Linked DNA regions of Sus scrofa. The protein of the gene in region 1 purifies or fractionates together with the protein of each later gene. This does not show direct contact. Links are inferred from orthologs where the notes say so. Each region holds a gene or a part of one and is shown in the gene's direction. Other genes may lie near its edges. The genes, in order: tumor necrosis factor receptor superfamily member 10B-like and CFLAR.

The links.
Region 2: the proteins of tumor necrosis factor receptor superfamily member 10B-like (region 1) and CFLAR purify together in Homo sapiens (affinity purification with western blotting; 5 studies listed by BioGRID and IntAct, with this or other methods). This does not show direct contact. The link is inferred for Sus scrofa from reciprocal best matches to the Homo sapiens genes TNFRSF10A and CFLAR.

What each region holds. Positions count from the first base shown.
Region 1 is NC_010456.5:7,357,516-7,361,327, reverse strand, and holds part of tumor necrosis factor receptor superfamily member 10B-like, read left to right. Parts: intron 1-2,663; coding exon 2,664-2,869; intron 2,870-3,812. UniProt on the Homo sapiens protein: Receptor for the cytotoxic ligand TNFSF10/TRAIL. The adapter molecule FADD recruits caspase-8 to the activated receptor.
Region 2 is NC_010457.5:104,823,540-104,827,351, forward strand, and holds part of CFLAR (CASP8 and FADD-like apoptosis regulator), read left to right. Parts: intron 1-3,312; coding exon 3,313-3,812. UniProt on the Homo sapiens protein: Apoptosis regulator protein which may function as a crucial link between cell survival and cell death pathways in mammalian cells. Acts as an inhibitor of TNFRSF6 mediated apoptosis.

The sequences.
Region 1 (3,812 bases):
GGAAGGGTTTCTTATTTCGTTTTAAAAGTTGGGCACACTGTGTATCCCGGTGCCCAGTAGGAAGAGCAGCCAGCTCATCACACTCGTACTTTCCAGTTTGGAGCCCCTCCCATTCTTGCACATGTTCTAATGGTCCGTTACCGCGTGACTTTTGCCTTACATTTTCTTCTGATTTTAAAAGGATCCATGAGGTAAACACATCCTGAGATGACTGCCCATGAGCCGGGCCCTGTGTCATCCCACCCCTGGGTGTGGGCAGAATCTCTGACCTGCTTCACACCAAGAACACACTAAGGGGATAGGATGTCACTCCCTGACTGGGTCACATTCTGTGGCAGAGGGGCAGGATGCCACTCTCTTTCTCTCAGTTACACCCGCCCTCCACCATACCTCCAGTCAGATCTCGTCTCTCTCCACATACCGCCCATGTCACTTGCAGCGCCAGGGGGTGAGGTGAGGGGCACTCTCATCATACGCAGGATCATACGCTGGAAGATAAGCATCCTCCAGCTAGGCAACAGCGCGCAGGAGGACACCCCCAGCACCTACAGAGGCTCCTCCGATGCTCACCGCATGGCAGCCCCACGAGGGCCAGGGGTAGGGGCAGTGGGGGAACGCCGTTGTAGAAATATAAATGGCCCATTACTGCAGCCATCAGATAATACGCCAAGGTTCCTGTGAGAAATCTCTTTCTAACGTTGGGCTAGTGGGCTCTTGACTGTAGCTGAGGACCGGGAGGAATCTGTCCATGAAAATACGCCCCGAAGCGGTACCTGGGTGGCACACGAGGTCACCCAACTCAGTTACACCTGCCCCGGGAGAAGAAGGAACAGAGGCCACAACCACTGCTGTCCTCCCCTGTGGTTCGCTCTGGTAGTTTCACGCCTGCGGTTTCCTCTCTGTGTCCTTCCTCAAAATGGGAGAGTTCCACATCCAACTGGGCTTCTGAAAGCACAGTACCTTCCTTCACAGATGAGGTCCGAGAGCAGCCAGGTGGTACGTGACTGTCGTGTAAAGCCCATCGATGGGTGAACGGATAAAGCAATTGTGAGGTATATCATACATGTATTATATATGTATAATCACTATATATATCATATGTAACAATAAATACAATGCATATGATATGTCATATATCGCCTATATATATCACACAGACCATGGAACATCATTTCGCCATAAAAAGAGGGAAATCCTGCCATTTCACTGACGACATGGGGAGGCCTCGAGGGCATTATGCTGGTGAACTAAGTCAGGCAGAGAAAGACAATAAATATAATCCCTCTCATAGGTGAAAACTTAAAAAAAAAAAAATCAAGCTCACAGATATGGAGAACAGAGTCATGCCTGCCAGAAGTAGGGGGGAAGGGAGTTGGAGGAATGGATGAAGAGGGGCCAAAAGCAAAAAGAAAAGAAAACAGAACTGTATGTCACCTGCGAGTGAACAGGCTCAGAGACAGCGCCCTGACTGGGCTTTAGCCCCGGACTGGGGAGGATTTCTCTTGGCTGATGAGAAGGTTTCTCGCTTCCTCTTGGTTCTCAATGCCAGGGTAGGTGGTGAGGCTGGGGTTCCCGGAGACCTCCACCAGCCTGAGGCATCAGTCCATCCAACCTGCCTTGGATTCTCTCTGGCAGCTCCCCTCCATCGGACCACATTGACTCCCTGTCCCCTAGTCTGACTCTTACTAGAAGACCTGCCTCAAGCCACAGGGGTCAAGGGGCAGTGGGTAAATGTTTTAAATTTTTTTAATTCCAAAAAAAAAAAAAAAAAAAAAAAGCTTTCCTTAAGTCACAAAGGGATTCACTGGCTTAGGGGCAGTTAGAACCCAGAGCCCTCCAGTGGACATGTTGGCATTCTGGTCTACAATTTAAGAAAAGAAAAGAAAAGAAAAGAAAAAAAAAAAAATCAAAAGATCTGGTTGGGGGCGTGGCTATGGAGATGAGAGTGGGCAGAAGGCGGCCCTCAGAAGACAGGAGACTTATGAGCTGGTTGGGGGCGTGGCTATGGAGATGAGAGTGGGCAGAAGGCGGCCCTCAGAAGACAGGAGAGTTATGAGCTAGTGGGGCATTTGCGCTGGAAAGGGGCAGGGTCAGGACGCGCCCCCGGAAAGCAGATTTGGAATGTCACCTCAGCCCTGTGCCCACTTCCCAAAGGTGCAGACTGCCTTTTAATGAAAGCACGTCCCCAGGGCTTTGGCCGCCAGAGCCAGTAATTTCCGCTTTGGGCTGCAGGGTCGCTCTGAGGGACTCCGGGCCCCTCTCCTGATGTGACTAGTTAGAGGTGGTTAATGTTGTTTGTTTGTTTGTCTGCTTCCACGGCCTATGGAGGTTCCCAGGCTAGGGGTTGAATCGGAGCTGTAGCCTCCAGCCTACGCCAGAGGCACAGCCACGCGGGATCCGAGCCGCGTCTGAGACCTACACCGCAGCTCACGGCAACGCGGGATCGTTACCCCAGCGATCAAGGGCAGGGACCGAACCCGCAACCTCCTGGTTCCTCGTCGGATTCGTTAACCACTGCGCCACGACGGGGACTCCTAGAGGTGGTTCATGTTAACCGCACCGCTAGCGCCGGCTCACGCGCCCGCGCAAATGGCGCAATCTCGGCGTATAAAAGTAAGGGCAGGCTGTGTGATTAGACCATAACGTCCTGCCCGCGCACCCAGGAGGCAGCAAGTACGATCCGGCGCTGCAGGAAAGACGCTGTGGACTCCCGATGGCTCTACCGGCCGTCTGCCCGCATCGCGATCGAACGAGGAACTGGGGACCGAGCGCACCCACCGCCTCGGGCGCTCCGGCAGGGCGCGCCGCCAGCCCCCAGCCTTCGCGCCAGGACCTCAGGGCTCCCATCGTCGTGGTGTTGGTGCTGTCGGTGAGTCTCCGCTCGCGAAGTCGCGCTGGTTCGCCGGCCGGAGGGGGGGCGGGGCGGGGCACTAGTGAGTGACAGATCGCACTTCCTTTCGTTTCCCCTTCCCTCTCTCGGATCCTCCTCACTCGTTCTCTCTCAATCTTGCTCTCTCTGGGTTTAAATTCTAAAACGTGCCCTTTTTAAATAGATGAACTAGGGCGGTCCCTGGCCCCTCCCCCACCGTGGCCTTACGCTCCGTCGTAATATCCTTTACCCTGCAAGGATCGTCCAAGTTGGAAACGATCTTTAAAGTTACTTGCTGCTTGCGGCAATGTATGAGTGCTGTGTAGAAACCATAAATCGTCTCACGACCCGGACCAGATGCTCACCACTTCCTCTAGGAGGTGGTTTGGAGGCTCCGTGTAGGATTTATCACTGTTGGTGTTCATCCTCAAGATACTTACTATGGGAAGAAATCTGCACACTTCCATTTTCTCAGGTTGTGGCTTTTTTTTTTTTTTTTTCTTTTTCTTTTCTTTTTCTTTCTTTCTTCCTTCCTTCCTTCCTTCCTTCCTTCCTTTCTTTCTTCCTTCCTTCCTTCCTTCCTTACTTCCTTTCTTCCTTCCTGTCTTTCTTCTTTCTTACTTTCTTTTTTTTCTTTTCTTTTTTTTTTCTTTTTTTTGGCCTCCCCGTGGCGTATGGGGTTCCCGGGCCTGGGATCAGATCCCAGGCGCAACTGCAAACCACGCCGCAGTTGCAGTAACGCGGGATCTTCAAGCCACTGTGTCCGGGAAGGATCCCGCGAACCCGAGTCCCAAGACGCAGGGGATCCCGCTTTGCCACGGTGGGAACTCCTTGAGGTGCTTTTCGAAGTTTCTTGCATGTTTAAAAAAAAAAAAAAAAAAGGGCCAAACAGGGTTATAGGAATCATGAAAATGTCTGTTTTCATTGAGCAAATTACTGCTAA
Region 2 (3,812 bases), on another chromosome or scaffold:
GAAAAGAGATTAAGGCACAAGACAGCCTGTGTTGCCTCCAGACCTCTGCATGTCAGGATGGAAAGGGAGACTATGGCTTTCTTTCAAAGACTTTGATAAGGGAGGCACTCTTATCAGTGAAAAGAAGGTTTTGATCCAGGGAGCCAGTCTGAAATTAAGTAAACAAAAGAGCTTTGAGCCTGATGTTTCTCGGTTCGCTTCTGCCCCCTGGAGGAGAGAGTGCTCCATGACTAGAGAGTGCCACTCCGGAAGGGAGCGTTTGGAATAAAGCAGTGGGGATGGCCCCTGAGTCCTGTCCAGGCTCTGTCCTGGTACCTGGTACATGGTACAGCCCTGTGTGTCATCCCCAGCTCAGAACTGGATCTCAAGCCTTACCTACACCCTCAGAGGCCGTGCCTAGGGGGCAGTGCTTCTTCACCTCTCCTAGCACTCTGAGCTCCTATGCTGACAAGTGAGGTACTTAATAGGTTTTCAGCAACTGTCATTCCTTGAACATACTTAGTTATTGTAAGGTTTTAAGGAGATTGGCAACTTCTTTATATCTCTTGGGGGCTTGTATCTTATTATTACTTGATATATATATATTTCAAAAAATGAATTTAATTCATTTTCTTCACCCCTACCTTACTTGCGGGTCAGGCGGAAGGAGAAAAGTAAGTTGCTTAATTACACTCCATTCTTAGGTAATGGTTATTATCATTCCCTTTTGCTGACTTACCTAGTGAATTATTTATCTCATAATGTGTACAAATTGCTCCAAAATGTTATAGCTTAAAACAACGATACTAATTTATTTATACCTCTCATAGCTTCTGGGGGTCTGGAATTTAGAAGTGACGGAGCCAGGCTGTCCCAGCCCTGAGTCTCTTGAGAGGTTGCTGTCATATGTCAGCTTGGGTCCTTGGCATTGGAGGAGCTTCTCGAGTGGCTGGGAAGTTGGTGTGTGGCTTGCGTTCTTCTCCATGTGGGCCTCTTCACATGGCACTGGGGACCTGTTTGGCACCAGGGCCCTGTCTGGAGTGTTCTCAAGACATGGCAGCTGGCTTCCCCCTAGTGATTTGACTTTGAATGTCACGTGGTAGCCCTTCTGCCACACTCCATTCATTAGGAACGAGTTACCTGTGTTCAAGGGGAGGGGATTACACACTATCTTTTTAAGCAAGGAGGGTCGAGGAGTCACAGACTTATTTAAATCTGCCATATCTGGCAGGATGTGAGCCTCCTGAGTAGAAAGTTCTACGAGACTGTATGTGATTGTGTCCAGATACTGCCCATAGGCTGGCCAAATTGAATTAAGAGCACTCGAGCCAGCTCTTGTTTGTCCAGTGGCTGCTTAGTTCCCAGTTTGTTGTTAACCCAAGGCTGTGTTTCTTTCCCAACTTTTAATCTTTTTCCTGTTTCCTGCTGAGAAGCCAGAAGAGAAATAACATTTGCTTACTTTCACTTTTATAGTGTAATACTCGCTGATAAAGTTGGCAAGACAAGACGTTGAAACTATTGGTTGAAGTTATTATCCTGAATTATTTGTGACTCTCCATACTTCATATTGTTCTTATTTGGTGTGGAGAATTGAGAATCGGTAGTGAAGGGTGATGTGTCATAACCTTCAGTTATTTATCTCCCCCTGACCCCTTTGTATGACGCCCAAACTGGTATGAGGTGGGGCCCCTCTGTTCCTTGGTGGAAGTTATCTCTGCTCTGGACACTGTTGTGTTGTTGGGTTTGGGGTGAGTGCAGTGGTAGACTCCTGGACGACCATACCTCAGGGGAGGAAGAGAAGTGGGTACGTAGTCATGACACATGGAAACAAATCCAGAGAAGTGGCTAATTGTTTGGGTGACAACCTGAATGGGAAGATTCTTGTTTTACCTCTGGGCTTAGGCCAGAACAGCTTTTCTGCCTTGAAAATGAATTGAGAACTGGAGGCATCCCTCAGACAAGGAATAGAAACTTATTGGGGAGCTCAAAAGGATGTGGACTTTTTGAATGAGGAAGAGAAAGATGTCTCTCTTTGCTACTAGAAAGATGAAATATTTCTGTGTTTACTTCTCCAATGAGGGCAACCTGAGCAGATGGGAACTAAGTAGTTTGGGTGGGGTTTCTTTCGTCTCAGGACCGTAGAAACTTCTAGAAGATGGACAAAAAGAATTTTTTAAAGAGCAGCAGGGACTCTTTCTTATTGAGCACCAGGAGATGTATTGTATTACACTAATTTAATACTCACAGCATCCTCATAGGGTGGCTATCTTCACTTCCACTTAAAGCTATGGAGAGGAGTTCCCATCCTGGTGCAGCAGAAATGAATCTAGCTAGGAACCATGAGGTTGTGGGTTCAATCCCTGGCTTTGCTCAGTGGTTTAAGGATCCGGTGTTGCTGTGAGCTATGGTATAGGTCGCAGACGTGGCTTGGATCCCGAGTTGCTGTGGCTGTGGTGTAGGTGGGCGGCTGTAGCTCCAATTGGACCCCTAGCCTGGGAACCTCCATATGCTGTGGGTGCAGCCCTAAAAAAAGCAAAAAAAAAAAAAACCCCAAACTAGTGAGACCTACTTCCTTAAAGCCATGCAGCCCATAGGTGTGGTGAGGTCAGTGCTAGGAGGCAGGCTTGTCTGCTTTTTCCACTCCCTTACACTGCTTCTCGAGGCAAAATTAACCTGAATTCCCGGAAGATAGGAGAAAAATCTTTGGGGGCACTTTAGGTCATGTCTTGGCCATGCCACCCTCCCCCCGCCCCAGTTCTGTCAAAAGCTACACTGGGAAGTGGTTCATGAGAAGAGCTGAGGGGTTTGGGGATGGTTCCAACTTAAATCCAGGCACCTCTGGATCAGCCCATAGCAGGTGGAGGTGAGAGAACTCATGACCTGGGCCTCTCCTCTCTGCAGCCATTGGATCTGGGTTTGGACCTGCACTCTGCAAATGCACCCATTCCTATGAGCTTGTGAGTGATTTTAAGAAAGAACTTTTTGCACAATCCCAGCTTTGTTTTGGTTGAAGAGGAAAAAGTCTTTTTTTTTTTTTTTTCTCTCTTGATTCATTTAGACTAGAGGTGGGCTCAGTCTATGCCCATGCCCAGATGTGGCAGTGCCCTTGGGAAGGAAAAGCCATGGAACGAAGGACAGACCCTAACTGAGGACCTGTCACTTACCTCATGCTTCAGGCTGCCCCATTCTCAGGGACTTCGGTGCCTCAAAATAGGACACAAAATCGGAAACAGACAAGTAGCAGAGATTAGACCATGTTTAGGATTGCCGCCCAGTGTTTCTGGAGCTTTTCTTGCCCCTATGTTGTTTTTCACGTTTGTTTGTTTTTTCCAGATGTTCTTCGGGACACCTTCAGTTCCCTGGGCTATGAAGTACAGTATTTCTTGTATCTGAAAGTGGAGCAAATAAGCAAGATTCTTCGCAAAGTTGCCCGTATGCCCCAACACCAAGACTACGACAGTTTCGTGTGTGTCCTTGTGAGCCGAGGGGGCTCCCAGAGCGTGTTTGGCGTGGATAAGACTCTCTCCGGGTTCCCTTTGGATCATATCCGAAGGATGTTCATGGCAGATGTATGCCCTACTCTCTTAGGGAAGCCAAAGCTCTTTTTTATTCAGATCTATGTGACATCAGAGGGCCAGCTGGAGGACAGCAGCTTCCTGGAGGTGGACGGGCCATCAGTGAAAAGTATGGATTCCAAGGCTAGGCAGCCAGGGACCTGCACAGTTCACCGAGAAGCTGACTTCTTCTGGAGCCTGTGCAAAGCCGATGTGTCCCTGTTGGAGCGGCCCTCCAGCTCATCGTCAGTGTACCTGCAGTGCCTCTCCCAGAAGCTG